7 linked regions of the Oryzias latipes genome follow. The protein of the gene in region 1 interacts with the protein of each later gene in a biochemical or structural test. Links are inferred from orthologs where the notes say so. Each region holds a gene or a part of one and is shown on either strand. Other genes may lie near its edges.

What was found.
Region 2: the proteins of receptor tyrosine-protein kinase erbB-2 (region 1) and src-like-adapter 2 form a complex in vitro, tested with the Homo sapiens proteins (2 studies listed by BioGRID and IntAct, with this or other methods). The link is inferred for Oryzias latipes from reciprocal best matches to the Homo sapiens genes ERBB2 and SLA2.
Region 3: the proteins of receptor tyrosine-protein kinase erbB-2 (region 1) and shc1 form a complex in vitro, tested with the Homo sapiens proteins (2 studies listed by BioGRID and IntAct, with this or other methods). The link is inferred for Oryzias latipes from reciprocal best matches to the Homo sapiens genes ERBB2 and SHC1.
Region 4: the proteins of receptor tyrosine-protein kinase erbB-2 (region 1) and sh2b2 form a complex in vitro, tested with the Homo sapiens proteins (2 studies listed by BioGRID and IntAct, with this or other methods). The link is inferred for Oryzias latipes from reciprocal best matches to the Homo sapiens genes ERBB2 and SH2B2.
Region 5: the proteins of receptor tyrosine-protein kinase erbB-2 (region 1) and itk form a complex in vitro, tested with the Homo sapiens proteins (2 studies listed by BioGRID and IntAct, with this or other methods). The link is inferred for Oryzias latipes from reciprocal best matches to the Homo sapiens genes ERBB2 and ITK.
Region 6: the proteins of receptor tyrosine-protein kinase erbB-2 (region 1) and plcg2 form a complex in vitro, tested with the Homo sapiens proteins (2 studies listed by BioGRID and IntAct, with this or other methods). The link is inferred for Oryzias latipes from reciprocal best matches to the Homo sapiens genes ERBB2 and PLCG2.
Region 7: the proteins of receptor tyrosine-protein kinase erbB-2 (region 1) and supt6h form a complex in vitro, tested with the Homo sapiens proteins (2 studies listed by BioGRID and IntAct, with this or other methods). The link is inferred for Oryzias latipes from reciprocal best matches to the Homo sapiens genes ERBB2 and SUPT6H.

Annotation. Positions count from the first base shown.
Region 1 is NC_019877.2:7,422,578-7,426,837, forward strand, and holds the start of receptor tyrosine-protein kinase erbB-2, read right to left. Parts: upstream 2,985-4,260; 5' UTR 2,755-2,984; coding exon 2,682-2,754; intron 1-2,681. UniProt on the Homo sapiens protein: Protein tyrosine kinase that is part of several cell surface receptor complexes, but that apparently needs a coreceptor for ligand binding. Essential component of a neuregulin-receptor complex, although neuregulins do not interact with it alone.
Region 2 is NC_019863.2:26,193,505-26,197,722, forward strand, and holds the start of src-like-adapter 2, read left to right. Parts: upstream 1-1,340; 5' UTR 1,341-2,170; intron 2,171-2,526; 5' UTR 2,527-2,556; coding exon 2,557-2,629; intron 2,630-2,718; coding exon 2,719-2,818; intron 2,819-2,908; coding exon 2,909-2,995; intron 2,996-3,230; coding exon 3,231-3,334; intron 3,335-3,858; coding exon 3,859-4,011; intron 4,012-4,098; coding exon 4,099-4,218. UniProt on the Homo sapiens protein: Adapter protein, which negatively regulates T-cell receptor (TCR) signaling. Inhibits T-cell antigen-receptor induced activation of nuclear factor of activated T-cells.
Region 3 is NC_019874.2:18,333,947-18,338,348, reverse strand, and holds the start of shc1 (SHC-transforming protein 1), read left to right. Parts: upstream 1-1,487; 5' UTR 1,488-4,402. UniProt on the Homo sapiens protein: Signaling adapter that couples activated growth factor receptors to signaling pathways. Participates in a signaling cascade initiated by activated KIT and KITLG/SCF.
Region 4 is NC_019871.2:13,807,237-13,811,773, reverse strand, and holds the start of sh2b2 (SH2B adapter protein 2), read left to right. Parts: upstream 1-1,496; 5' UTR 1,497-1,720; intron 1,721-1,846; exon of another isoform or gene 1,847-1,924; intron 1,925-4,537. UniProt on the Homo sapiens protein: Adapter protein for several members of the tyrosine kinase receptor family. Involved in multiple signaling pathways. May be involved in coupling from immunoreceptor to Ras signaling. Acts as a negative regulator of cytokine signaling in collaboration with CBL.
Region 5 is NC_019868.2:21,188,657-21,193,031, forward strand, and holds the start of itk (tyrosine-protein kinase ITK/TSK), read left to right. Parts: upstream 1-1,369; 5' UTR 1,370-1,436; coding exon 1,437-1,574; intron 1,575-1,655; coding exon 1,656-1,760; intron 1,761-1,869; coding exon 1,870-1,951; intron 1,952-2,036; coding exon 2,037-2,162; intron 2,163-2,415; coding exon 2,416-2,453; intron 2,454-2,740; coding exon 2,741-2,892; intron 2,893-3,014; coding exon 3,015-3,080; intron 3,081-3,161; coding exon 3,162-3,216; intron 3,217-3,659; coding exon 3,660-3,739; intron 3,740-3,944; coding exon 3,945-4,081; intron 4,082-4,182; coding exon 4,183-4,248; intron 4,249-4,375. UniProt on the Homo sapiens protein: Tyrosine kinase that plays an essential role in regulation of the adaptive immune response. Regulates the development, function and differentiation of conventional T-cells and nonconventional NKT-cells.
Region 6 is NC_019864.2:28,000,382-28,004,868, forward strand, and holds the start of plcg2 (1-phosphatidylinositol 4,5-bisphosphate phosphodiesterase gamma-2), read right to left. Parts: upstream 2,851-4,487; 5' UTR 2,666-2,850; intron 1-2,665. UniProt on the Homo sapiens protein: The production of the second messenger molecules diacylglycerol (DAG) and inositol 1,4,5-trisphosphate (IP3) is mediated by activated phosphatidylinositol-specific phospholipase C enzymes. It is a crucial enzyme in transmembrane signaling.
Region 7 is NC_019872.2:8,918,138-8,921,890, reverse strand, and holds part of supt6h (transcription elongation factor SPT6), read right to left. Parts: intron 3,157-3,753; coding exon 3,083-3,156; intron 2,950-3,082; coding exon 2,772-2,949; intron 2,644-2,771; coding exon 2,562-2,643; intron 2,367-2,561; coding exon 2,117-2,366; intron 1,888-2,116; coding exon 1,786-1,887; intron 1,692-1,785; coding exon 1,578-1,691; intron 1,486-1,577; coding exon 1,396-1,485; intron 1,265-1,395; coding exon 1,122-1,264; intron 966-1,121; coding exon 820-965; intron 745-819; coding exon 637-744; intron 540-636; coding exon 259-539; intron 1-258.

The sequences.
Region 1 (4,260 bases):
ATTATGCATTTGACCAATCAGATGAAGGCCTTTTATGTTAGACACTCGCCCCCCACGTAGACTAGTTTTATTTGGAGTATAATTTAAGATATGTTGACTCTTATTTAGATTAAACTGCAGTGAAGTGGGAATTACGTTTTTGCTAGTTTTACTATTTGTTCAAATATCGCAAGTTATATCGTCATCACAATATTGAATACTAATATTGCAAGTTTTCCTCATATCATGCAGACCTACAGTCAATGTAGTTTACCAACATTGAGCTAAAACAATTTGACAGATTTCTGAGTACTGTGTATCATAGAAATTCAGTTCCAGGTCAAAAGAACAAATAAATTCCTACAGACCGACAATATTTTGGGAAACTGAAGGCATAAAAATGTGCATCAAAGTCATATAAATATGATATTTTTTAACCTTTGGATCTATATGAAGACAACAAGGAGAGACCCAAGAGCTTCAAGCCTTCAAGATATTTATGAAGCATCCACACCACTGACTATTATTAGTGAACGCATCACAGTCCTCTTTTTAAATTTAGCTGCTCCAATGCCGGGTCTGAACATGAGAGTTGAGCTTATGGGAAACCATTCATGCACAAAATCTTTAAAAAAAAAACACACACACGCACATTTTGCATACATGCAATAAAATAACACTGACATGCAAACATTTTATGTAGGGTAAGGGCAATTTGAGCATTTTATACAAATAATGACAACATATAATATAGACAAATCTCCCTCCAAGTAAAAAAGCATTTTAGATATAACCTGAGCTGAAGTGAGAACTTTAGTGTGATTATTGGTAAAGTCTTTGATAAGAAATTCTAAATTTTGATAGGATTCATTACAATTGATTAAATGTCATTTTACTGGTCAAATTTTTGTTTTAAAATAAGTTGTTTAGTGATGAAGTGACCAAAAGTAAAACCTTTGATCATAATATTGTGAAATCTCACAATAGAAACGAATAAATTTGATACATTTTTCCAGATAATTTGTGATACATTCTTATAAAAAGAATTAAATCGAGGAATTTCATATTTTTGAATTGTCTTTTTAATTGAAACAAATTGATCTTCAAACACAGCCTTTAAAAGGTTTACATGAAAAAAATGATAGTGTCTTAGTGTTAAATGCCCAGGTTAAGATGCAAAATAATATTAAAACAATAAGATGCTTGATTGGTTGAATTAAAAGTTTTTTATTGCCAAAAAACGGACGTTCCTCTGAAAAACATGAGGGTGAGCGGAGCCTTTTTAGAGAACGACCATCCTGATCTCAGTCAGAGTGGGTCAGGTCACTAACAGTCTAGACGGGCAGAGTTAACCTGCAACTAGCGTCAATTCAAATAGACTTTGCCTTGAGGTGCGCTAAAATATGACAAGGGCGTGAACTGTGCGTCCACTGAGGCAATCGCCTCACACCAAGGATCCTGCATAGAGGGGCTGTGCACACGTGTGAGTGACATAACAAATGAAAGTAAGAAGGCTGGAAGTCAACACTTGGGCATAACATGTTGCTTAACTCTGGGAACCAGTCAGAGCACTCCGGCACAGGTCCGATGCTTCAGAGATCAACACTGCAGACTAAAGTGCACCAACCTGTTCCCCCCAACAATGCTGTCGCGTTCAGAAATGACTTCACCTGTGACTACTGGCTTTGTTCCTGCGTGTGTCCGATTAGTGGTAGTGCTTCGGGGGCAGCTAATAAAACAGGAGTATTGTTTGTGCTCTAAGGATTTCGTCTTTCAACTTAATTGAGCTGGAAATTGGTAATCAAAGTCCAAAAAAAAAAATTCATGGCTCTTTTTGTTGTTTTTAACCCCAAAAACTGGCAATTTAATAAAGTCTGCACATAGTCTCAGTCTGTGCAAAGGTTTTACATGTTTATTGATATTGCTAAATCCTCCTAGAACAGATATTAAACTAGTTCATAATAATAATCATGAAAACTGTGGTTTTCTTGCAGAAATAAAAAATGATATTGGAGTTTTTCAAATCTGACTCCTTTTCTTCGACTTTATATAATTGGTATATGAAATGTGAAAAACAATGAAACAAATAGTTTAGAGCGGTGCTACTTTCTGCAACATGAAGAAATCCAAAAACTCCTCAGGTTTGGCTTTAAACAAAAGAAATCTTGATTTGCATTTTGCAAATTTGCTCTTATTTGCACTTTCAGTTAGTTAGCTCTTACTTTACTGGCATGCACTCCAAGCTCCAAGTGTGATAAGTGGCCCTCTATCAGACAATGTCCCCTTAGGAGCCAGAAGTGAATAATTGACATAGTCATGATGATCTTCTGCACACAGAGCTTTTGTTTGTTTGTTTGTTTGTTGTTTACCAACACTGCTCTGCTGCATCTCAACACCAGTTCTCGAGTTTATTGCCCAACTATGTGGCTTTAACTCTCTTTATTCAATTTAGTGTAAGTTTGTAATTGAAATTCAAACTGAAAGCTTTTAGCGAAGCTACTTTTTGACAGGTGGGAATTTTGTCCTTATCTGCGCTCCATAACTCCCATGAATCTCCGCAGGGAGGACGAAATCACGTACGAGGAATGCAGGAACCCGCGTCGACTTCACACTTCACGTCCACACGAACACAACTCGAACGGGGTCTAGTATGTCCGCGTTCCCAAACCGTGAGAGCGCAAAAGACGACAAAAGTCACCCACCTTCTCCGCCCAAAACGCCCGGCACTCCGAGCAGAACGGCTCCGATAAACACCAAACTTCTCGCGGCTTCCATCTGCTCGCACCCGGCGCGTTTAGTCCATATTCCAGAGTTAGGTCTGTCTAATATTCGTTGTAGCCGACAAAAAAAACACAATAGGTCTTTTCCTTCTTAAAATATTAGACCTTAAAATAATAGCAGCTTTAATCTCGACTCCCTTAGTGAAATTGCTGCCCTTCTTCCTATCCACGGAGACTTCCGAACTCGGACTGTTGGTAGTAACAGTGTGACAAGCGCGCTCCCGTGAAGGCCTGCGCGAGGAGTGGCACTCTGACTCCGCCCACAATCACAGATTTCTGTCTGCAGACCTCAAACTCACTACACGCTTATCAATGTGACATTAAAGACTGTAATGCATGGATTCCTTCTGTCATACAAATATATATATGTTTATTTATTTATTGGTCAAATTTATGTATCCTACTCAAACATGTTTTTTTTCCAACTGAAATGTATCTGAAAAGTGTTCTAAACGCTCATCTTTATGAGGCTGTAGCTTTGAGCATCATGTTAGAACACTGCCAAAAGAACTTAAAGTTCTCTAAAATAAAAATGTGCTGAAGTGTTTAAAAATCATTTTTGTTGGAACAACAAAATAAAATAAAAACTTCCACACCATAATACTACTACCTTCACCAACTTGGCACCTTGCATTTTCAATGGTAGATCTTCCTGGCACCCCAGAATCCCAGAAGGTATCAAATGCAGATTTTTAAATTTATTTGAATTTAAATCATAACATATGGGAAATAGTCAATATTTCAGGACTTTTTTTTCTCCAAATTTTCCATGATACAAGAAATACCAAAAAATTAGATCAGACTGTCTTTGTCAACAAACTTCAAGATGTTGGATTATGTTGTAATTATTGTTGTTTATGGAGGATTTAGCAGTAGCATCTCAAGGAGATGCTTGATCCTGTGAGATGTTCTCAGGCTTGTTATCCTTTTTGTTTTCAGTCTATTGGGGGCTAACATTTCTTGTGCTTTGTCCAAAAAACCCCCCCACATATATGTATTTACACACAGACACGCACACAATACAATTTTCCTGCTCTATTTCCAAACTTTCCCCAAGTGCATAGACTCATACATCTCTGTATCTCACCATTTACTGATTCACTAGAGTGGCTAAACTTTCATAATGACTTCTGGAACAAATTTAAAGAAATCTTCAGTGGGCAAGCAATGGAAGAAAAAAATGTATCTCTAAACAAGTTGAAAATACAGAAAAGTAGAAGTTCTTTTCTTGTTATAAGGGAAAACAAATTTGACATTGGAACTAGAAGAACTTGTTTTGGTAAAATTTCTTAAAATAAATTGTGATGTAATAACCTTTTAAGACAAATTGTTTATGTATATTTCACTGGTAATAGGAAATATTGCATTTAAATGACAAGGTATTGCCAAAATAAGGGTTTTAAATCTTTAAAGTGGGTATGTTTGCACACCTTTCCCCCAAATATATCACATTTTAACAGCTATAACAGTCCAACTACCCCTCTATAGAATCATCCTAAAG
Region 2 (4,218 bases), on another chromosome or scaffold:
TTACTCTTGACATGTGTGTTTCACTGACCGCCATTCATCCCATCATTTTATGTTAAAACCCCAGTCTTTTTCTGGTAGTCCTGGTGTGCAAAGAGGGATCTTTGACCCTACTGTGGCTTCAGGAGTGGACCTGCAGCACCTCTGCACTGCCTTGGTTCTAACGAAACAAGACATTTCACAAAGTAGCACTGCAAACTGTAGCACTGATCCTGTCTGACCACGTCGAAAACTTTTGTAGAGCTACTTTTAAACATTCATTTTTTTGGTCTTCTTTTACAATTTGGTTTTAAAATCTTTCTCGTTGTCCTTCTGCACCGCGCTGATGTTTGTGTTTGGCTGAAACTGTACGTGAGAAGAAGAAAAGCCCCCTTCAAGTGGTGCTTCTCACTGTGCTGATTCCGTGTATTTATATTCTGAATAAAGCTGCAAATAAAGTACGCGCCTGCTTCATGTGTCAGTACTTTTTCTAGAGGTTTCCAGAGCTGAGTATGTGTAAACATCTTTGTGGTGTTTCTATAAATAAAACTAAGAGAGAACGCACACCGTAGATCTGTTAAGGCTGCCGCTGCTGCTTCTAGTTGGTGGAAAAGTGAGGAGACTGTGGTTGAAGTTGTTTCCAACCACACTTGCTCTTATTTCCGAAGCTGAGTGATAACTGCTGTTGTCGCAGATGAGCTGGCTATATTTAGCCCTCCATCAAAAGACAAAGATCAGCTGTATTGTAACTAAAAAAGGAAACTTGAAAAGGAACGAACTGGAACAAGAATAAAGTGCTTATACGAAAACTAGGTACCTTCAAAGAGGTGCAGCACAGACTTCTGGGATGTCTGGTACCTCAGCCTGTCTTCTGCATGTGAGGAGGTTCTGTGCAACATAATCCAACCACATGAAACTTCTCAGATCACCACTTTTAGTCCAGTTTATATCAATGAGTGCTAATGAAGCCATTGAATTGTTTTAAATAAGCGACTCGTCGCATTTCGGGCAGACACTCGGCAGAATTGCAGGTTACTCCCCTAGGGCGGGTCTGTTAATTAACCCACCTGCTTAGCGTCCTATTTAAGTCAGGTGTACAATTGTTCATTCTCTCTTACCTTCAGCGCTCATTCTTTGCCCCTCCCTCCTCCCCGGCTTCCACCTGTGGGCTCCGTTACGGGGGTTGTTACCCGAAAGTGTATGGAAAAATAATTGTCTCAAGGAATTGAACGGAGCCTTATGCCAAAACGAAGTTGTGAATCAAATTGTGAATGTCATCCTAAAGATGTTGTGAAAACCTAAAGATGTCGTGAAATAAATGTTCTTCTGCAAGAGTTGTCTGACTGAAATGCACAAAACGTATCTTGGGAGCTGCATGACACGTGAAACAATCTGATGTGATTGACTTGGCAGCTCAAACAAATTCTTGATAGCAAACTTTCCATCTGCTTATTCAGCACTGATTTGATCTTCTCTCGTTTCCACGCCGCTCTTTCTCACAAACATCACGCTTCATCTTTTTCTGACATTTCAAATTGTGCAGCCTAAGTTAGGTTTTCATACGTTAGATGCTTCATGCTTAAAAAAACACAGTTTAATCAGTGAACCTCTGAATGAGGCAAGGGGAGCATCACGATTCTGCAAAAGTTTGACTTCTAGTTTCCCTATAGCTAATGAGAGCATCAGAGTGGAAAGGAAGATGTGCATATTTGATATCTAGGTGTGATGTTCAAATGCAGATTTTCACCTTTGACCTTCTATGACATCCACCCCACAGTGGTGCAACAGGATCATTCTGAATGGCAAGAACATTAAGGGTGCTTACGTACGCTGACACTTCATTCTGTAAACAATTGATATAGTATCAGCTGAACTGTCTGCAGATCAGTCCAGGATGTTGAAACTGTTTCGCGTCACAGGAAGCTGCGGCTTCGCGACATGCATTTATGTGAGGCGAGAAACCTCTGCTCTTCAGTCAGCCTTCATTGCCGCCAGCAGCAAAAACACAGCAGTCTTCATGTGAAGTGAGCAGAGAGGGGAGCAATCTGTTCAGCAGGCCTGAGTTCCGACATGCAGGACACGTTTGCATCTTTATGGTGACTACAGACACGGATTTATGAACAAGAAGACCTGGAATTTGTTTGTGGCTCTGCATTTCTGAGGACTATTACTTCTCCAAGCAGAACTTCAAAAGGTGAGCGACCTTTTTGTTTATTTTGCTCGCCATTTGACTCAACTTCTGCCTCCAAGATTTTAGTTATATGTCCTTTAACTTGTATAAATATGCTGCACAGATTGAACTTTGCAAAAAAAAAAAAAACGATTGCATGAACAGAATAAAATCTCCCCTTTTGAGATGTGGACCTTATTCCTGCCATGCTCTGCATGGAACTTGAACGCAGGATATCAGCACCTTTTGTTGTGGTTTGACACCTTGAGTATTTTGCTTTTGGTTGCCTTGTTATGACGCATGTACATCCCCTGTGTGTGACAAAGTTAGCAGGCAACAACCAGTTAGTTTATTTTAATGTTGGTTTTTTTTCTCTTTAGGTCTTGGCAGACGTCTCAGATTGCTGAAAAATGGGCTCCTGCTTAACCAGATGTTGCTCAAATTTAGAGGTTTTAGAAAATGCACCTGAATCAGACTCACCAGGTAGATTCAGCTCAGAACACAGACATGCAAACTTAAATATACAGATTCCCCAGATCAAATGTTCACCGCTTCTCTTTGTGGCTCTGTAGTCCTCCAGGAAAATGTGATTGTATCGCTCCACGACTACCCAACGTTCGAAGACACCGAACCCACCATGTTTGCTGGTGAGAGACTCCTCATCGTATCAGAGTAAGTGGAACAGCTTGTAAGGTTTCAGTTTTGCCACAGTTAAAAAAAGAACCCTACGTTAAATTTGTTTCTCTTTTGGAACAAAAACAGAGATGGAGATTTCATGACGGTGAGATCCTCAACCACTGGCCGTGATAGCTACATCCCCACCAACTATACAGCCAAAGTGATGCACAGGTGAGGAGCTGTATGCTGTTGTTGTGAGCACAAAAAAATAAATGAGGCATACTGTCCGTGTAGGTGAACTGTTCCTCAGTGGAGACAAATGCTTGTTCTCCAGTGACACATTCAGCCTCTGCCTCCTCCACCTCAGTCCTACTCAACAAGCTCAGATCTTCTTCTAATGGGTTTTTCCAGACGTCAGGACAGAATTTGGTGTCCCAGTCTGAAGGTGTGATGTCCTTTGTTGCAGGTGGCTGTTCACAGGCATCAGCAGGTACAAGGCAGAGGAGCTGCTGCAGAAACCCAATAACCAGAACGGATCCTTTTTGATTCGAGAATCGGAAACAAACAGAGGTAAGAGCTTTGTTGTAACCTTTTGTGTAAAGGAACTGTTTTTTAGTGAAAGTTTTAATTTATTTTAATTGTAAGGGGGCAGAATGCTGAGCCTGTCTGTGCTTTCATACCATTTTAGGTTTGCTCAGGTTAATTTTTGTTCTGCTTTTATAAACCAGAAGCAAATTTATCCTCAAGAAATCATTCCTGTTGGAAAAAAATAGTCTGATTATTACTGATTTGTTCTGATCATTGTTTGTTCATTGTTAGAAGTGAAGATTATAGAATAAGGAAGCACACAAGACATTTGTGATTTCTAAATTCTATTTCTCCTCCAGGCTACTTTTTAAACCATAAACTTTCTGGAAACATTGATTAAATATGTGGAGAAACAAAAATGTGTCCTACAAAAAGTTTTTATTGAAAAACAGGATAACTAGTTGTAGAAATTGATGACATTTGGTTCATGTGAGACACCAAAAGATCAGCCAAGTCAAAACAAAAATATCTTAACCGCTGCATCTGTGGGATATTTCTGTCTTCAGACAGCCACTCACTATCCATCTTGATGAGAACCAACTCCTCACGATTGAATCCTGTGAAGCACTACCGCATCTACCGCCTCCAAAACAACTGGTACTATATTTCTCCAGGACTCACCTTCCCCTCCCTACACTGCCTCGTGGAACACTATTCAGGTCAGAACTGAAGCGGGGACTCTCTTCTGGGTGCCTTAAGACAACAAAACGTATAAAACTGACTGAAAACTGGGGCTCCTCTTGCAGAGTCTGCAAACGGCCTGTGCTGCCAGCTGACAGCGCCTTGCTTCATCCAGGGGTTAGACACTCCCAGGCCTGTTCCCAACATTATCAGAAGGCCTACTATTAACTGGAAGGACATAAGCA
Region 3 (4,402 bases), on another chromosome or scaffold:
TCTAAAAGGTTTTTCTAAACAACATAAGAAATATAAAACAGGATAATTTTATACTAACTTTGAGGCACAATTCTGTTTCTAAAATAAATTTTGAAAAAGAAAAAACTTGTTGTGAAAGACCTTTTTACACATATTCCCTACTGCAGCAGTGTAACAGATAAAAGTAAAGCTTGTTCTTGAGTTACCTTATTTAAGTAAAACTAGAGTCTGAAGTCAGCATGTAGTCATGCATGAGTAATTACTCTGCCATGTATATGCACAAGGAAATTTATTGCAGTTTTCCTCAGACTGTACTCGGACGTCAGTTTATTAGTCTTACCCCAAAAAAAGCACATGCAGTTTACAGCAGTCCAGCAATAAATCCTGCCTTCACCCTTGCAGCTTTAATAGGTCTTTTGATAAAGTTGCTTTAATGAGCCACGAATTGAACTTTACGGTTAAGTTTTTTTCAGGGCTGCAGGTTTGGACCTTTTGGGACTGGGTTGCATAATGTTCAGAAAAATGAAAATCATATCCTTCAAGAGAGGAGATGCTTCAATTATTTACGCAGTTATTATGCAAGACTGGATTCATTATAACTGTGTCTACCTTATAAAAAGTTGCAATAGTCTCTTCTCTAGTCCTTTTCTGTAAATCTCAAAACGGGTACACAAATTTTGGGGGAATTTTGAAGGTATTGTGTGTCAACTCTAAGCCACTGTGGTTCAGGCTGGTGGAGGGTGCTGTTTTTCACTGTTAATCATTAGTAGTAAATACTGCAAGCACGGTGATGGAAGGGGGCACTTGGCAGGGGTGTGGTGCTTAAATTTAAGCTAGAAGCACTTTTTTTTGTTGTTTTGGTGTGAATTGAGGACTTATTGCTGTTCCCCTCTGCTTAGTTCTTGCAGCACTCTATGCCTGGTTTCCTCTCTTTTCTGCAACACTGACTTCTCATCAGATCCGCTTGACTGTCACAGGCAATTTCTGGTCTCTCTGCTTTCTATATTTTAGTGTCCTAGTCATGTGAGTGTTTCTCATATTCATTGTGCAGATGTAACTCATGCTTTTTTTTTTTTTTTAAGTTTATCTGGCTCCATCAAGGTTATACAGAGTGACCTCCTGTCACACAGAATTGCTGGCTAAAGGGCTGTGGGGTTTGAAGGAGGGAAGGGAGGGGGGTCTCTTTGTCCCAGTCTTTGAAATCTGTTTCTCAAGTTACCAAACACGAAGGCAGGACTCTTGAATGGCCAACATAAACAGCCCAGTTTTTCCACGCATGCACTGCTGTGCACGTGGAGACACACACTCACCCTCTTCCTTCCTTCCCCATCTCCCCCCCTTGAGCATTAGAGTGCATTAATGTGCATGAGGGCAGTATGTAGCTGTGCATGCATATGTGCACTTCAAAATGACTCTGGCTGCAGAGAAGGGGGGGGGCAGGAAGGAAGTAGAATGGAAAAGAAGAAGGTGGAGGGGAGGGGGGCATGCAGCACTGCACGGTAGAGTAAGAGAGAACGAGAAAATGGGAGGCAGCATCACCCACCCAGACAGGAGGAGGGGAGGGTAGACAGCATGCTCGTCCCCTCAAACAGACAGAGGTGGAAGGAAAGCGGGCATGAGAGGCAGACACGAGGGGAGAAGAGAAGTACAATGAAGGAGTGCTATTGTCCATCCTGACAGCACTGCCATTTCACCATCCGCTGAGAGACGGGAAGGGTGACAAAGGAGGGGGACGAAAGAGGAGGCAGCCAAACGGAGGAGAGAGGATAGATGGAGAGGAGCGGCAGGAGCCGGCAGTGACTTTGTGAATTAACCGAGCGGAAGAGCGGATCAGAGAGGAAGCGCGATTTTTCTGGGAGTGGATGAGGAGAAAGCCAGAGAAAGAGGAAGGAGAGGACGAAGGATCCGACTTTCTGTGGCTGTTCAAACATCACTGGGGCTCTTCTTATTGGAACATGAAAACCAGCTTTTCATGAATGGTTTATTATTAATAATAATAATAAAAAACAACTATAGAAGCTTTGATATTTAGTGAGAAAAATGAAGAACACAGAAGCAAATGTGTTGCTCACTTGATACAAAACATTTTTTAAAGGACTTTTTGTAAATATAGACTCTCTTTTCGACTTCTAATTTTTATATTTTCTATAATTGTAGATCTGCAGGATGTTATACAATCATTTCTTTTAGAAGTTTCTCAGAAGATTCAGCTTTTTATGCAAGTTTTTGTAACAGTTGTCTTTTAAATACTAAGGTGTGGTGTTCCTTGTTAATTGAAAAAGGTTTTTTTTATTATTGTTTGATATGATTTGTGATTGACTAGCTGTTAGAGTCCGTACATGCATCCAATGTGGGATGTCAACACTGATTAGGTGTGATGGGTGGCTCCAAAGCAGTCAAACTTTGATCTTAATCGTATTCTTCTTCTAAAAGCCTGTGATTTTTTTTGTTTGTTTGTTTTATCCTGCCGTTCTGTGGAAAAAAATCCAAAAGGCTCATCTATTTTTCAGTTTGATTCCACAAAGCAGTTATCCCAGAAAATTCCTGCTGTTGTCGGGACTTTACGGCATACATGCTCGGCGGGCTTTTCTTTTAATGTCTGTTGCCATAGCAACGGGAAGCAGCTGCAGACAGAACTAGATGTAAAGTTCCTCTTTTCCTTTTTTTCAAAATTCATTTTAAAAACTGGTGCTGTTTCATTGCTGTTGCATAGATCATCATAGATGTAACATCTTAGAAAGAATTAGCCTGTGCTTTTGTATGATTTGTGGGTTTTGTGTTAGGGGTCATAGTTGTTAACTCTAACTTTGTCTGTGTGAAAGTTTGTTATCCAATGTTTTTTTTTCAGTTCATCTGTCCTCAATGTGCTACTATCAGGCATGACTGTGTGAATTAGATGATCACTCTGACTTCACTTGTACATATCCGTGGGTGCTGCTGTTTGACCCTGAGGCCTATGATCATCAGTCATCAGCAGTGCTGCATCTATGACAGTCTGTTCATTACAGCGCTCATCTGTTGGTGACTCAGGATTTCTCTTCATGTAGAGGGCCGTCTCCTCTGCAGTCACCTGACCTTCACTGTGTTTTGTGCACCAACATCCTAGAGCTAGGGTTGACTCGACTCTATTAGTTCTCTCAGAAGGAACAACTGGTGTTCCTAGTCTGCTGTTAACACGTGTTGGATGTGTTGCCTATGGAACGTTCTAAGCCTCTTTGGACTTAATTTTGGTTCTATTAAGTGTGTGACAGACTGTTAATTTATTCTGCATGCTTTTTATCTGAAGACTTTGTGTCTTTTCCAGCCATACTACTTTATAGCTTTCTGGAGATCATCCAGGCCTGTCTGGCAGTGGATGAGTATATCTGGATCCTCCTTGGTGCTTTTTGTCCAAGACCAGATGGATGGCTAGCTAGAACTGCTAGACAATCCCTCTGTGGTGCTAGACTGGTGTAGGCGACTGTTCCTTTTGCCATTCATCCAGCACCCACTACAATCTTGACCGTTATACTTTTGGCTTAGTTGCATTCTCAAATGTTATAATAAGCCATTCCTTTTGGTATTATTAAAAGGTTGGTGCCAGATGTGCAGCCTTGTGTAAGTTATTCATCTTTTGCAAGTCTAAAGGTCAATGTTCTGTAAATATGACTAGTGCCTCAGCAGCACTAAGGTTTAGGCAGGACAGCTTGCTGCAGGGCTAAAAGTGTACATTTGCCTCCCACTGAGGTCAAGTTGTTACAGACTGTTTCATTTGTGGGATGTTTGTTGTGAGCGACTGCTAATGTAAGAGTATTTGCCTTCTAGGTTGGTCTATGCAGAAAGATGCAGTGTTTTAAGGTGTCTGTTGGACAGAGCTGAGATCTGACTATTCCTTGCGTTGGGAAGGGAGCTGTCCTGGAATATAGCCTTTGGCTTTTTTATATCATACACTTTGTGGCAGTGTCAACATTCTTCTCTCAGGTAAACAACTATAATCTGGGCTTTTTATTGAATTGAACTACGAAACAATCAGATGACAGCAGCTGGCACTGGGTTAACAACAAAGGTCAGTTCTATTTGAGCTTCTTTCGAACCCAGATGAGTGAGTTCATCTTCAGCACTGATGAGCTCTCACTTTGCTGAAGCTGGATTATGAGATCAAACCTGACAAATCAGGTTTCATTACCATCACAACGAGCCCACCAGTAGTGTTCATCAGCCAATGACCCACATTCTCCCGTGTTACATCACCACCTTGGTGCTGCAGTGTCTGTCACTGTACCAGTCAGACAACATCTCCCAGGAGGCCTACCAAGATTCAATGGTGCTCAAGGAATAAACAGAAAAAAAAGAACAACAAAAAAAAAAAAGTGAAACTTGGTGGTCATTTTTAGGGAACACACTTAAACAAAAGCAGGCTCTTTTGTTTTTAGCCATATCAGGT
Region 4 (4,537 bases), on another chromosome or scaffold:
TATACTAAGCTCCCTGTGCCGCTGACTCTGAAGGAAGCATCACCAAACCATATGAAAAGTCGGAAACGACCCAACAGCTAGTATTTTTTCATAAACAGTGGCTCAAAAATGCTTTATTGCACAAAAATGGGACAAAACCATTTTGTAATAACATGAAATTAGGAGTTTTGACCAACATTTTTGGTCATTCATCTTTTTTTTTTGTTGTTGTTGTTGCGCATTTTGGGGAACTAAGTCAAATATGCACCAGATATTTAAATAGTTCTCTCGCAAACTGTAAACACATTGGATTAAGATAATGAATTAATATAAACATAAGTATATCAGGTTGTTCACTTTTATTTTTGAATTCTCTTTCCTCTTTTTTGGTGTTCTTAGATCAGATAGGAATGTATTTTCTCTCTTTCTTCAGAATGTCAGGTGTGCACACATACACACACACACACACACACCCACACACACACCCACACACACACACACACACACCCACACACACACCCACACACACACCCACACACACACACGTTTTGTAGAGCAGCTATTATTGTCAAGCTGACCTTGTGGGGGTTACCTCTCCATCATGATGTAGAGAATATTTGAATCTAATTTTGTCAGTTTCCGCCATTCACAAAACACTGATGGAAGACTGTCTGCTTTAGCCAGGATTTACGTTTTTTTGGCCTTTTTTTTTTGTTTTGCTTTGTTGTGTTGTTTATCTTGAGCAGCTGGTGTAGTGCATCTGCTGCTAGGCTGGACCGTGCTTTTGTTTTGAATATGGATTCATTTGTTGAGCGCCCAGGCCTGCACACACTGAAACACAATACATCCAGGATTTTTGCCAGTGGGATGATAACAACAAACGGGCGTGGCTCCTTTAAGGACAGAGGTATACACACAAACACATACATACACACATGTTACACACTTGGACACAGACACACGCACGCACACACACATTCACAAGTGAAGCAAGCTGTTTCAGTACTGGCCTTTCAGTTCACCTTCAAATTAAAAGCCATACAATGTTGAGAAGAAACATTTTTAACAGGAGACAAATTTCGATAAACAACATTATGCTCTTAATTTATAAAAGTAACATATAGTCCAGGTATATGATACTTTAAAAATTATTTTTTTATATTATCTTTGAAAAATCTGAATACAATTTAATTTAATTCATATGAGCATATGACCAAAAAAAAACTCCATGTAATATTCAACATCCATTTAACCTGATATTTTACTTTCCCTGTTTAACCAAATATATCTTTTCCACTGTAGAGTATTATTATTATTATTATTATTATTATTATTATTATTATTATTATTATTATTATTATTAAGATACATTGATCTGCGTGTCTGTCACGCAGTGCCCACCCCAAGGCGGTGTTGTTGTTTTTCTCCCCTCCCCTCACCAAAAGCGAAAAGGAAGTCTACATTTTGGAATTCCCTACCTTTATTTTGAAAAACTCAAACGGAAATGGGCCTTCCTGCAGCTCAGTGTGGTTAAATAGGTCTGTGGAGCGGCGGCAGCAGTGCCCAGTGTTCCGCAGCAGAGATGGAGGAAGAGCTGGCTGCCTGCGCGCTTCTATAAACCAGACAAATGAGAGCAGGTGGAGGATCTAACCATGGCTGACGCTGAAAAGTGAGGACCTGCTGTGCAGAAAGCCGGAGTCTGCTCTCCTCTGGGACAGAATGGACCGCGTCCTCTGTTGAGGTGAGTGCCGCTGCGCTTTTCTTTACGCGCCTGATCATCCTGGCGTTTGTGAGCAGAACCTGCGTCTGCGCTGATGCTGCGAGCAGAAACGCTGCAGCGTCGGTTCTTCTTTTTTTTTTCTTTTAGCTGCAGGACAATAACAACAACCTCTGGCTGCAGACACATTGCGTTCTGGGGGATAAGCCCCTCTCTCACGTCCGCGCGGTAAGTCTCACCGAAACGCAGTGGCCACATCCAGCCCGTGATGGAAGAGAGGGATAGTCTGCGTCTCTGCTTGAGGGGTGGAGATGCGGAGGAGGCTTATTCCTCTTCTTCTTCCCCCTAAGACATAAAATCCGCTAAATAGACGCAATAAAGGTGGGATCTGTCTGCGGCCCCCTCAGAGGTGCGCTCAAGATGATCCAGAATCCGTGACAGCTCACGCGCGCAGGCTCCCATTCATCGCTGCCTTCTGGGTCTGTCAGCCATTCAGCAGGAGGCCATTCATGAAGTCCAGCGCGCAGCCTGCACCACGCTCCACTGCTGCCTTTAAATAGACTCCCTGGGACTGCAGCAGGCCTGTCACAGGCCCTCTATTGACTTTCTCTCACGTATCTTTTTATGAGCTGCTTGAACAGACAGGTAACATGAAGCCTAACAAGTCCGATTTGAACAGAAGCTCGCACAGAAACGCCTTTTCACTCATTGATTTGTGATGCTGGCATGTCTGACATCATGCTGTGACAATGTGATGAATTAGAATGGACGCTTTCTTGGCATATGTAAGTGCTCCAAAATCAGACATTTAATAGTTTGATGACTTTTATTGAAAGTGAAGCTTTGGCTAAAATGTAAAGTCCAGACATGCTCCATGAAGAAACGCCCCCATAATTACCCTTTTATGAAAACAATTCATCTTTAAAGAACCACTCAGATGAAAACTGTGTTTTTAAAATATTCTTGTGCTTTTTTTGGATAATGGAGAACACGAATTAAGAAAATTAAGCCTAAAACAGCATTTCTGAGTATCTCTTTTTGTGAATGCAGGAGCAAATGAAAAAACTTACAAGTGTGACATAGAACCTGTAAATGGCAGGCAACAAACTCCCTGCTCTGCTCCATTCTGATGCATCCACTTGGAGACAAATAGATCCTTGTTTCCCCGTCTGAGCTGGCATCTGGCTCAGAACTGTAGACAGCCCCAATGTTGCTTGTAATTGTTGTTGCACCGATGGGGTTGTGAGGGGCTGTAAGCTAGCGAGAGAGTGAAAACCATAGGATAATGGGAAGTCGGGGCAGGCTTACTCCACGGCAAAAGTCCCGCCCACAACGAAGAGGTGAATTTATAATGAACTACCGCCCTGCAAAAACTATGTCCTAGAAAACAGCACAGTTTTTTTTTATTTTGGCTAAAAACGGCATGATCATAATTAAAAGACCACTAGGAACGCTTTTATGTGATATACACACTGTTTCACCTCTACATTAAGATCATTTATTAACTAACATCTGACTCTGAATGTAAGTTTTTTTGACAGACAGCTGCTTTTATTTTCAAACTAAACACAACACAGGCAACATGTGGAGATTACAGCCCGATGTTGAAATAACGAAAAAACTCAGCAAAGAATCTCTTTTCTGGGGGTTTAGATTTGATAATTGGAAGTTTTTGCTAAAAGAAAAAAGAAAACTGCATCAGAAAGATCCAGTCTTTGCCATTCAGTTTATGATTTAGTTTGATGCAGAGGCAGAAATGTTTGTAATTTGACAAAAAAAATATTGCATATTGCTCCATGCAAATATGTCATAAAAATATGTATTTCTTTATTAAAAAGTTACTTTTACAACAAAAAGATCAGGGTTTTTCTACAGACTTTTTCCCATAGTAAATAGTTGACTATGGTTTGTAAAGTAAAAAGGAAAGAAAAAAAATTAAGTTTGATTGCAAATGTTTTCCAGTAAATATTATATTTTACTGTAAATATTATCTAAAAAAATCAATATATTAAATAAATGAGTTCAAAATACGAATGTCTGTTAAAAAAATCTTGAAGACTTGTTAAGAAGAATTCTGCTTGAGGAAAAACATGGAGGAGAATCTTTTCCTGAAAAACAAAAAGTGGCTTTTTTGTCAACATATCGTAATAGGTGACAGATTTCAGGTTGTCGAGTATTTATCCTGCGCGTGTGTGGTTGCGAGAGGCACATGCTTGTCTGTGGAATTAGTCAGACTTGGTGGGTGAGAGACAGGAAATGGAAGTCAGTGGTGAAGCGTTCATCTCCCACGCGCTCCGTCCTTTATCGTTGGCTGCCATACGGATGCCGAGCTCACTCAACATTTATATTGTCAGAGGACAGAGTGAGAAGACTCTGTCCTGCTGAGAAGCCACTAAACAAATGTGTGTAACATCGGCTACCTGCATCATCAGACGTGAGTGGTCACTCCTCCTCATAAGTACATGGGGGTGCACTTTAGCAATTTGATGCTCAACAGTTTCATATTTCCTCTTTGGGTCTGGATTCTTATCCAGAATTGTATCTGTCTGTTTCTGTTTCTTTTTTTTATCTGTCTGTTTCTACATTTTGTGCACACAAACACACTTCTACACGCAAACTCACTCCCACACACGTGGACACACTTCACTTCTGAACAAATAAAAAACCTGCACAAAGACACACTTTTTCTTTCAAACTCACTCTTCCACACATAAACTCTTTGCATTACGAACTCACATTAATGCACTCTTGTGCTTATAAAGTCACCCCTGCACATAGATGCACTCCTGCTCACAGACCCAGTCCTGTCTACAAACCCACTACTTACACATCTGAACACAA
Region 5 (4,375 bases), on another chromosome or scaffold:
TCGCTTTATTCATTTCCCGGTTGAGTTTCAGATGCCAGGATTGGACAGTGACCCGGAAACAAACTCGACGTTGATTGGTTGCGTCGACAAGCCTTTAAAGTATTTCATTATTAACCTTATAATTAGTGGGTTTTATTCAAAACTAATCTCTTTCCTGTATTAATTGTTTTAAACTTTTTGTTAGTTTTTGTTTGTTTAATATAGTGAGTTCAGGTTCTGATCCTGGTAGGCCTATAAATCTTAAAATATGTTCTTAAAATAAGCTGCTTAAGAAATCAAACCCAAGCAAAAAAAGTTCAGATCTGTAACCATAAAAAAGGGGGGGGAGGGGGACTCTAATTTTAAAAATGTATCTATCATTTGTTTTTACGCCCTAAATACAGTAGGGCAGGTGAAAGTGTCTAACTTTGAATTTTATGTTTCATTTTCTACTTAGTCAATTAGCAACACCTAATATTCATTCTTTTTCTTTTTTTTACACTTAAATAAAAATGGTCAAACTATTATAAGTAAGCTGACTTCATCTTGACCCTGACACTAAATAAGAATGACATGTAACATTTTATTTTATAAACGTTGTCATAGGCCTAGTGAATATTTAGCAGAGGGCAAAGGTTGTGCTTCGGAGTGTGCAAAACAAAACAAGAACATCGTATTTGAACCAAAATTGAAAAGAAAAATAAGAATCTTTCTAACCCCAAAGAAAACATAGCCTCATGAAAAGTACATCAAAGGTTCCATATTGTATTTGGATACATTTTTCTTAGAAACCAGACTTTTCTCTTTTGCTGTTTTCTGCATTTAGTGATTCATGAAACCTTGACATTCTTAGTGTTTGTAGGATATAACTTATCATGCATTTTACATTTTTAAAAATTGCATTTTTTTCATTTTTAAGTTTTCCTTCAGTAGTACTTTTTTACTACAATTTTGATACAAGCGGAGAGTTTCTTTTAAATGAAGAAAAAAGAAAATTTAAAAATTCCGAAAAAAAACCCCAGCTATGGCTTCTTAGGTATTGATTAACAGTGTTATTTTTGTTTTTAGCTTTTGATTTAATATGAAAATTTAAATTGTTTTCTAAAACATTTTTGTTTAACAACCAAGCAATTCTGACAAAAAGCTTACATTTTTATGCAAAATTTGATCAATAGTACATCAAAGGTTCATGTTAAAAAAAAAACCTTTATTGAGTTTAACACAACATACGTGATGATACGTGTGTGTATTTGTGTGCACATCAGTGTGTGATTGCTTGCACAGAGTGTTGCCACAAGGATGTGGTTTACTGCATGCAACTAACCCACGCCGGAAACTCTTCGGCATCTTCAATGTTTGCATTCTCCCTTTTTTTTCCCCCCTGCAGTCAGAGGCTTTCAGTTACTCCGTCCAATACCACCCAGTGTCTCCAGTGGTGTTATTCTCAACTGCTAACCATGTTTCCTCGGGTGATTTTGAAGGGAACCATGATCAAAAAATCTCAGCAAAAGAAGAGAACGTCACCGTGTAATTACAAAGAGAGATTTTTTGTTTTGGACACACAGGAGCTGAAGTATTCTGAGCGCCGTTCGGGGGTGAGTGCTTGTGTGCTTCATGGAATTGTCAAATTGAGCTTGACTGAACTGACAACTTTTGGAAATGGCACGATCTTGCAGAAGAAGCCCATGCTAAAAGGTTGCATTCAACTGTCCAGTATTAAGTGTGTGGAAATTGTGTGTAGTGACATCCCCATACCATGCCAATACAAGTACCCATTTCAGGTACCAGTCGCAGTTTTTTAACTTAAAAAATAATTTATTTCATTTTTAATTCAAAGGAATTTTGAAGATTTCTGTCTCATATTTTCTTTAAATCACAAATGCTTTGCAGGTTCTTCATGACAACTATTACCTCTACATTTTTGCTCCAGACAACGACTGTCGTATGAGATGGGTCAAAGCCCTCAAGGAGGGTAATTCAATCAGAACCTCTTTGTATCATTGTAATTTTAATATCTTGACCTGCATATAAAGAAATATGTTCATCTTTCTATGTAGAGACTAAATATAACAGTTTGGTTGCAAAATACCACACAAACTTCTGGATGGATGGAAAATGGAGATGCTGCCTACAAACTGACAAACTGGCAGCAGGTTGTCGTGTGTATGATCCAGTGGGTTGTGGTTTGTATTCATTTGTTATTGTTTCTTCTTTTAGTTACAATTAGATCTCACACGTTCCATTTCATATATTTATCATATATTTATTTCTTATTTGTTTACCTTTGTGAATATTCTCCCTAAAAAGGGATTGTGGCCTAAAAATCTGCATTTTAGATGCTAAAATCTTTATACTCTGCATAGGATTCTGTGTCAGTGCTTGTGATATGCAAGAAAAAGCCTTAACTACTAATTCCACTGTTTACTTAATCCACAGTCACTAAGAAGCCACTTCCCCAACTCCCAGATCCAGAGGTAGACCTCTTCAAATGTTAATGTTCTATTAATGCAGCCATTGAAAACTGACAAATCAGTTAATTTACAGCAATTTGTAGCAATTCATAGCAAAGTTACTTGACTTTTTTTTGCTTTGCCTTTTCTGTACATCTGGTAGATTTATTTGAATAGAACTGAGACAGCCGGTTTATTCATCAAATGTTACCCTAACTGTAAAAGTCCAGTCATGTCTTGTACATTGTTTTTGCCTTTTTGAATGAATTTTTAGTAGTGAATTGTTTCTTAGATATGGTTGATTTTTGCAGATGTCATTACAACCTTCAACACAGGGGATGGTCATAGCTTTGCAAGATTATGTGCCCATGGGAGACGACGATTTGCCCCTCCAGAAAGATCAGGAGTACCTGTTGATCAACAGCTCCCACTCTGAGTGGTGGGCTGTGCAGGACGACAAGGGGTAAGGCTTTAAAAAATAAATAAATAAATAAAAAAGCAGATTTGACCTTCTTTTAAAAAACCAATACATTGAAAATTAAATATTTCTAAAGAACATATTTGTGATTTTTTTTTTCTTAACAGTAAAACTGGTTTTGTGCCCAGTACGTACGTTGCGGAAAAATGTGGCAAAAACTTTGAGAGATTTCAGTGAGTTTTGTCAGATCTTATTTAATCTTACACATCTACAAGACACTGTTTAGATGTACTTGTTGATTTGTCGCTTTACAGATGGTACAACAAGCACATTAACAGAGCCGAGGCAGAAGACTTGTTAATGAAAAAGGTAGGAGCATAAACCACTTATTTATTTATTTATTTTAAACTTTGTCGTGCTTTATGGAAAATTACCTGGTTGGTAATCTCAAAAATCAAGTAAAAGAAAAAAAAAATTCCTCTGGCATGATAAGACGCACTTTACTTTTCAATAGTGCCGCCCACAGAAATCTTGCTTTTGCAAAAATAATGCACCTGCAAACTGACATTGTGGAGTGACATGGGACGTGAACATTTGTTCTCAAAACCGCGATGTTTCCTTCAAAACTGAATTTCCTGCTGACAGAATGTCTGCTGAACTTTGCAAACAGGTGGGAGAACTGCGCTCCCATCACCTCCTGCGACTCAGACACTTTCAAAGAGCTTGGCCAGCAACAAATCTTAAAAAAGTGAGAAAAGAGATGTGTGCAAGACAGTCAGCTGTGTTATGCAATATCTTCATTCTTACTACAGGGAAAAGAAGGTGCATTCATGGTGCGGGACTCAAGACAAGCAGGAGTCTACACGGTGTCCGTTTACACCAAAGCGCCCGGGTAACTGTCATTTTAACCACATACAACTCAAAGAGTCTACACAAAATGTGCTTTCTGACATTTTATTTTACATTAGTATGTTTGAACATGTTCTACATAAGTAAACATCCCCTTTTTCTGTCTTTTTTAAAAACATTAGTTTACATTTTGCTATTTTCTTATGATGTTTGTTGCTCTAAAATGTAAATACATATGTATTTTTTAGATCAAAAGGTGAAAAGAATCCCAGGGTGAAACATTATCAGATAAGGCAGGAGGAAGGAGGACAGTTCTACTTGGCTGAAAAGTATCTGTTCAACACCATTCCTGAGCTCATCCACTATCACCAACACAATGCTGCTGGTAAACATGCCTTCTGCACACATTTAGCATTAAGGAATTTGTTTTTCTTTGATATATATTTATATATATTTGCATGATAACTTATCTAATGCACTCTGCAGGTCTGATAACACGGCTGAGATACCCCGTTTTGCCAGATGGATGCTGCTTCCAGGAAGCTGCTGAAGGTCATGTGATGTATTGGCCTATCCGTTCAAACGAAAATTACCTGAACTAATGTCTTGAATGTTTTAACACCAGCCACTCTAAAGAAAAGTTACAGTAGGTGGAAGCATGGATTATTAACTTCATGAT
Region 6 (4,487 bases), on another chromosome or scaffold:
ATTTTAAAGTAACAATTTGTGGTGTAAAGCACCATTTTTTGCATAAAGTGTAATGCAATAGCATGAGCTCCACTTAGTGGCCAAACTGAAAGGCAGCTCTGAGAGGCACAACACTTATTTTTGTAATATGAACAGTTTAGAGACGTTACAGTGTTAGTGATCTGCAGATTTTTGTCTGAGCTTCTCCGAAACCAAGCAACATTGTATGGTGTTAACAATCTCATTGGTTTATTATTTCACTAATACATTTTACAGTACATGAACTGTGTCAGATTCATTTGAATATCTTGAAAACATGTAAAGATTATTATTGTATTTCTATACCAATATGTCTAAATGTGTAAACCGTGTAAATTCAAATTTGAATTCAAATTATTGAAAGAATTGTAAATTGAATAGATCCAGGCTCTGGTGAATCGAATCAATTCTAAACTCATTGCTGTTACCCATACAGCTCTAGTTTATTTGTACTTCTTCCATGGTTTTAAGGTGGTTTTTGTGATACGTCTGTGAAAAGGCCACAACTTTTCTCACTTTTTCCACGTCTATTGTTATGGCTGTTACGCCACTTTGTGATCATCTCCCCTAGACTGTGGCAGGTTTGCCTGTTGGGACAGTAACATTATTCCCGTATGACCAATTTTCCTCCGTGCAATATGCGCAAAATGTACATGGTGGCTATGTGACACGGCCTTTAAAGCTCCAATAGTTTCCTGTCCAGCAAGATGCTCAAAATACATTTTTAATTTACAAACCCTGGATAAATTAAGAATACAAACATATTTTAAGTACAACAATTAATCAAGAAAAGTTAGTTTATGATTTGGAAAACCTAAAATAAAAAATTGTGTTTCTGTTTCTAATGCTCTGAACTCAGATTATGGGAGACAAATTTAACCAAAATCCGTTTCCTCATAGATGTGAATGAACTTAATTCTGCTCATCCAGAGAGAGACGGCTTCTGTCCAGATAACAAACCCCATCATTACTGCTCTCCACAGCAGAGTCCCGCTCGACGGCCATAAGCCACAGCCAGGAACTTATCACAGTCCAAAGTCTCAACGCTCTGAGCCTCGTTTGATTATCCAAAAGAGCTGCAAATCTTTACATTTAAGGAAAAGAGAAAGTCAGATTGGTTTTGCTGATAATGATAGCCTTATAAATGTTTATCAAAAGTACACATGGTTGAAGGATTGAGATCTTAGTCAGGAGCAGCCATTGTCAATAGACAGGTAAAGATTAACCCAAATACCTCATTCTCACCTTTAAGACAGCACCGCTTTTATTCACTGACATTTGTTCCTCATTACAAAACCAAAATCAACAAATAAAATTGCATTTAAGGACTGAAAAGAATCCAAACACTTAGATTATAAAATAGTTTACATGTTGCTCAAACAGATTCAAACTATTTCTGTTTAACACTAAATGCAGCAAACGGACAGTTTTCCTTTTTGAGATCAGAGTTTCACTTTAACTTTGTCTTTTCACGTCAGTTTCAAAGTAAAAACAAACGAAGCGTAGATCGTGGTGTGAGCCATTTCCTCCTTTTCTATTCCCATGAGCCCTCGCTGACCTGCAGCCGTATAACAACTCACTGTATTTACACAAATGAGCATTTCCTCCCACGTTCACCTTTAAACTCCCCTCAAAAAATAGGCATTAATAAACAAAAACAACGTCTAATATTGCAGAAAAGCCAAAACAAGACTCAGAAAGCTCTTGTTTCCCTTCCATCTAACACTGAGGACATCTGTTTTCATAAAACTTAAAAGGACAAAATTCAGTTTAAAATGAATAAAATCAACAAACTGTTATTCCATTAAGATTTAAAAAAAAAGACATGATATTGTCAAATGGAAGCCGAAATGTTCAAATAATCCAAAACTACAACCAAAAGGCCTCAAAAGTCAAAGCCATAATGGGCGTCATCATTACAAACCAGTGAGACTTTAACATAAACCGAGTCTAATGTCATTTCCACAGAATCTGAGCAACATGAACACAGTTTGAGTGAACTTTAGGACTTGATGTCCATCATAAATATGAAAAAGGCAGTAGTGGTGCTCCCTGTGTGCCTGCTGCCTCCCTATCTATTAAAATTCAAAACACAAGGTGCTTTTGTGAGCTGGACAAAGCCAATCCTTCTTCTGCTCGGCAAAAGCCAAGACCACAGTCCAGAACCGTTTCCTCATGAGGTCTCCCAATGGTTCTACCAACAACATCCTCACTTTGGAAAAATATATATATATATATATATATATATATATATATATATATATATATATATATATATATATATATATATATATATATATATATATATATATGAGTTAAATAGACTAAAAGGCTTAGATCTGGTGTGAAAAGGTTTTTTGAATAAGTCTTTTATTTTGAAGGTGGAGGTGAGCTGCAGCTGCAGGTGTAGTTGCAGCTCACCTCCACCTTCCGAGGTTCAAGTTCCAGGTTCCGAGCCGGCCGGCCGTGCACCTGCAGACGCCGCGGCTGCAGCCGCAGCCGGCCGCGTGGCAGTCGGTCCGCCGTCTGCAGCCCTGCATACGCGCAGCAGCGGGAAAAAAAAAGCGAACTTCCCGTCTTCAGCGCGCAGACAACTTTGACGCCAACCAGCCGTTCAAGATCACAAACACGCATCACAAACACTTACCGTCGGACGCGAGTCGCTTCTGCTCTACAAAAAAATAAAGAGAAAGTATCTTCTATCATCTGATCATGGTTTGGAGGCTGGGAGCTGAAAAGGACGTTTGGTGCTGACAGTAAGAGCAGCCGCTGGACGCTCGGTTCCTCTATGTGCGCTGGGATAGAGGAACTAAGGAAGTAAAAGTTGACTTGCATCACACACAGAGCATGCAAGTTTTTAAGAAGTCCGGAAGCAAGGACGGTATCTATGCAAATGAAGGGAGGCTCGGGGCTTTTGCTGTCAGCGGTGATGGCCACACCAGCTTTTATCTGACTCCCTGTGCAACAAAACAAAGAATAATAATAATTAAAAAAAAAAACCTGCTATTTCTGTAACTCACACTACCTTTGGGACCATAAAAGTTATTCAAAGCATAAAGTTTGCCCCCCAAAACAGTTTTTTTTAAATAATGTAACCTTTCTGCTTTTTTTTCCTGTTGGAGAGTTGAAGGCGCAGCGTCATCTGACTCTTCTTCATCCGTCTTCAACTGAAACGCAACAGGGATTGAAGTTTATCTGACCATCTCCAAACATTTTCATGAAAAAAAACATTTTCTGTGTGTGTTTGAAGGTTTTTTAAGGTTAAATTTGAAAAAAACAACAACAACTTTTGAGTCAATTTTTAATGTTTTTATGTAGAATAAAACTGACTTGAAACAGAATTTAACCAGTGGCCCAAAACATCGGACACGAGCGGATTAATTAGTAGGAAAATTAACAAAACAGTCATTTGTTTTAGCTCTAAAGTACCTAAACTTTGTGCAGTTTTTAATTATTAAAGTCTTCTTTTTTTAACTTCTTTTTGTCTAATCCAACTGAGGTAAATGAGAAGTCACTGCTTATATTTTCATCTAAAAATGAGATAAAAGTAAATCACTAAAAGTTTCCTTATTTAACTGTAAAATATTATTCACCTCAGCTTCAACATGTATTGAAAGGTCCCTCCATATAAACCAAATGAGCCAATCAGAAAGCTCTTTGGGCAAAACAATATTTGAATTATTGTCCTTTGTTTTTAAAACTGCAGATGGATTATTATGTGTTTTTAACTGTTCGAAAAAAAATAAATCCTATTAGTTTGAAGCATCTTTTTCCTAACATGTCAACTACAGGAAAGATTAACATGACATTTTATAAAGCACAGAGGGGGGAAAAGTTTCCCTTCTTTTTTAAACCATATGTAAACCTCTGGTTGCACCTGTACCGCTCTTTGTCATAAACCATATGAAGCATTTGCATGACTAACATGGTGCAGGTATTTGCATGTTTGCAGAGCAGAAAAAGGGGGGGGAGGATGAACACAAGGCTGCCTTTCAGGCTCCAAGGAAGTCTTTGCATTCAATGCAATTCCATGCCGGTCGCAATTTACAAAGTCGCTCATGAAGCCAGAGCGGACAACAGTAATGTTCGACAACAACAAAAAACTGTTGCATGAAAATAAATCTACTGAAGAAGCCTGCTGTGAAGAATGCAGTCCAGACAGACAGACAGTTATTTACTCCAAACTCTGTAAAAGCTCCATTTATTCCATAAATACAGTTTAGTGCACAGCAGGAACTGATATAAAGACTATGAACACAAATCCAGTTAGACCTTCCTACAGAAGATGTAGCGCTGTTGCCTCACAGCGAACAGGTCGTGGTTCGAATCCCGGTTGGGTTTTGGTTTGCATGTTCTGTCTGTGGATGTGTGGGATTTTCCTCCCAACAGTATGTTTCAAAGGTGGAACAGAGACTTTAAATCCTCTATGATGTAAACACGTGGGGTTGTGGGTATTCATGTGGACTGAC
Region 7 (3,753 bases), on another chromosome or scaffold:
CTTTCCGTTGGTAAGAGTTCGGAGCAGGGAGCCTGTGGCCCGGCCAGCGTATTTTCTACGTCACAAATAAGATTTTTTTTCAAACTGCTTTTTTTGGTCTGCTTTTAAATTTGAATAAAAAAATACTTAGAAATTAAGCTTAATTTTTTTTCCATGTCCTCTGTCATCCGAAAAATGCCACAAGGACATGTTAAGAACACCAAGAACATTTGTCATCTGAGTGGGTCTTTAATTAACCTCTGATGATAACCACCGTACCTTTTTACCCTTCTTTGTGGGTTTGATGTTAATCTTGGCTCTCTCCTGAAAGGTCTGGCGAAGAACATGCCTGACTAGAGGTTCCCGAGCAATTTGCATGGCAACCATATATCTAGTTCCTACCAGCACATTCTCGGGGGTGGAGAACTGACTGCACACATAATCTTTTGCCAGTTCTAAAGGCTCAGCAGGGAACTGCTCTGTCTCGTGACGCTGGTAACTGTCTCTTAAATTCTCTCCAAACTGCTCCGGGGTCAAACCAAACTTTTTAGCCAAGCCGTCTGTAAAAAGAGAAAACCAGCATAAGAAAATTAGGACAGCAGACAATTTTATTAATATCACTAATTTGGCTATATGAAGAAAAAAAAAAAAACTAACCAAGTCCAACACTTTGGCAAATGCTGTACATGTCCCTACGAGATGCCTGCTTGAGGTCAGGGGCTTTCTGTTCCTCCTCTTCTTCAATTTCAAGCTCCTCCTCTTCCCCTTCAGGTCAAATCATTTTCAAATAAGCCAAAAGGAGAAAGCTCTTTTGATTTTCATCACTTCACATGATTTTACCATCTTCTGTCACTTCTCTGATCTTCTTGAGCCTCTTCTTGGTGGATTTAGCAGCGTTTTGCATCTTGGGGATGTCTCGACCGTAATAGAGCAGGAAGTGATTGTACACATCTCCCAGTTCTTCAAGAGTCTGTACATCTTTTAGCCTTTGGAATATTAAAAAAAATAATGATACAATTAAAAAAAAAACATGTCAAAAGGCTTCTTTAATGAAATTTTGTCTTATTTTCTGAGGGCAACTGAAGCTAAACAAGGTTTATAAAGTAACATCTTTCTCAGCCTGCAGTGTGATGTGGTCGCACCTCTCCATGTCAGCCGTGTCTAAAGGACGAACGCCATCAGCCAGGGGCTTGTCAGGGTCAGCAGAGATCTGCTCAAACTGATATGACTGCATCTTTTGGAACAGCCGGGTCAGGTTCTGCTTTCGGGTTCTCAGCTGAGTCCACTAAACAATTTGCAAATCAAGTTAACTACTACCAATCGAAGTGTTTAAGTTTAAGCAAATATTGATGCAAACGTTAAAACATTGATAGAAAAAAAAGTCACAGTAATAAATAAAACAAAATGTGAAAATACCTTCTCATCCCATTGCCACACCTTCCACAGGTCATTGATATTTAGCTCTGGTTCAACATATTCTTTTCTGTAGAAAGCTATAAAGGGGACCTGAAAAAATGTTTAAAAAATGCAAGTTTTTGTCCTCCTTAAGATGAAAACAGTTAAATCCTTAAAAGGTGAATGTTATAAATCTGTGGTACCTCAAATTGTTGATTCCTCATGAAGTTAAGAGCCTCCTTAATCTTGGCAATTGTACTTGGACCCTTTCTGCTGAAATTTGTGGTTGTCCCTCTGTCAAGGTAGTCTGTGCTTTCCTTTAGAGGACAACGTGAGAAAAAGTAATGAGATCTGTTTTAACCACAAGCAATGTTATCATCTCCTGACGTAGCCTAGAGACAGCAGCTGCACCTGCATGGAGATGGTGAGAGTGGAGAAACCATGTCTGAAGATCCACTCGGCTTCTTCTTCCAGCTCATCATCCTCAGCGGGCTTAACAGGAATGGATCGTAACTGAAAGACAAACAAAAAACACATTTAGCAACATTATCAGGTGAATCATTTCTTTTATCTTTATTTAACCAGGTGGGCCATTAGGCACATGTTCTTATTGACAATAACGACCTGGGTTTTTTTGTGAATAAAACTTTCACAACCAAATGTTAGCTTACAAATTCATTTGGAATGTTAAATAAACCCTTAGAATGACTTTTTAAATGTACTAATATACTAAATCACACACCTGGAACCTCTCAGGCATGTCTGTGGATCGAATCTCATTGTCCTGATCAGTCATGTGACTGCTTTCCAGTTCACTGGGCTCATAGATTTCAAAGATGCTCTTTCTTCCCAATCTCCTTTTAGTCTGTTTCTTAGGTCGGTCCCAGCCCTCTTCTTCTGGATCTTCCTCTTCTTCCTCACCTCCTTCATCAACACCAATGTCAGCAAAGTCAAAGTCGCCACCAAAGATTTCCTGGGCTTCTTGGAGGGCTCTGGAGAAAGAGGATTTGAAACACATATTAAAAAACGTACCTTTTTTTTGGGGCTATTCTTTCTTTGTACAGATATTTAGAAATCAAATAGAAAAATTCTGTACATTTTTACTGCCCTTAAATTAATGCCACAAGAATGTGTAGGAATTGAAAATACGAGTAGGTTCTTCTCATTTCAAGTGCTCAAACACTCACGCATCTGTGTATCCAGAGAACTTCTTGCCCCGTTTTTTTGTGATGGGCTGGCCATCATCATCCACAATAAAATCATCTATATCTGCGGAAAGAAAATAAATATAAATTGAACTTCTTCCTCTTATAAAACACACTACAAAGGAGATTCACAACCTTGAAAAAAACATGCTGACATTATTTTAAAGAGATCTAGCAAAACTTTTTTCCAACCTGAGTCCTCCTCTTCTCCTTCCTCCTCATCATCTACAGTCTGGAGGGGCTCGTCCAAAGCCTCGCCTTCCTCCAGATCACCATCACCATCTCCATGAAAAATCTCATCTGCGATCAGGTCCTTCTCATCGTCATCTTCATCCTCGTCAAGTGTTTTGACGCGGTCATATTTCTTCTTCTGCAGTACAAGATAATACATAGTTAGGACAGCTATCAAACGCTCCAAGCTCTCCAAAAGATGCTGTATGTTCAGGACAGCTGGAGTCTAAGGAAAAGGCAGTAGAAATGGAATTTTATTGAGAAATTCTTACCCTCCTTTTCACTTTGACGCCTAAATTTTCCTCAATGAGGTCGAGATCATCATCATCCAGGTAGTCATCATAATCTAGGAAGAAAGTTTGGAAAAACGATCATTGAAGACAAACTTAACATGTAGGATTTATCTCTGAAATGCATCACAATGTTTGTACCTTTAAGCATGCTGTTTGGATTTCAAACCACAACTTTAGTGTCTTAATCAAATTTCTCTGCTTATTGAAACAGATCTGTGATGAGAACAGCTGGGATATCTCTTTACATTCTTAATAGTGACCTTTGGGTCCCTAAATGCCCCATAGCCAAAACATTTAGGTAAATATGCAGGTCTAGCTACTTTGAGTTTTTTTTATTATCAGTGGTAAAAATGGCTCCAAGCATTAGGGTTCCTCTTTTTAGTGACCGATCTGTGAATTCAAACCATGTCATCATTATGTGTTGCAAGATTGTATCGTTATACATGCAAGTTATTCACACAAGTCAAAGACACAATGATGACAAAATATAGAACTGGTTTGAGTTACTTATTGGCTTGATGCCAGCAAAGACACACATGTGGGGTTAGTTTGCTAATAAAACATTTAATCTCAGTCGTGATTTTTCTAGACATTACTGACGGAAAAAAATCCCTAAAATTAGTATCAGATTGATTTAACTTAATTCAAAT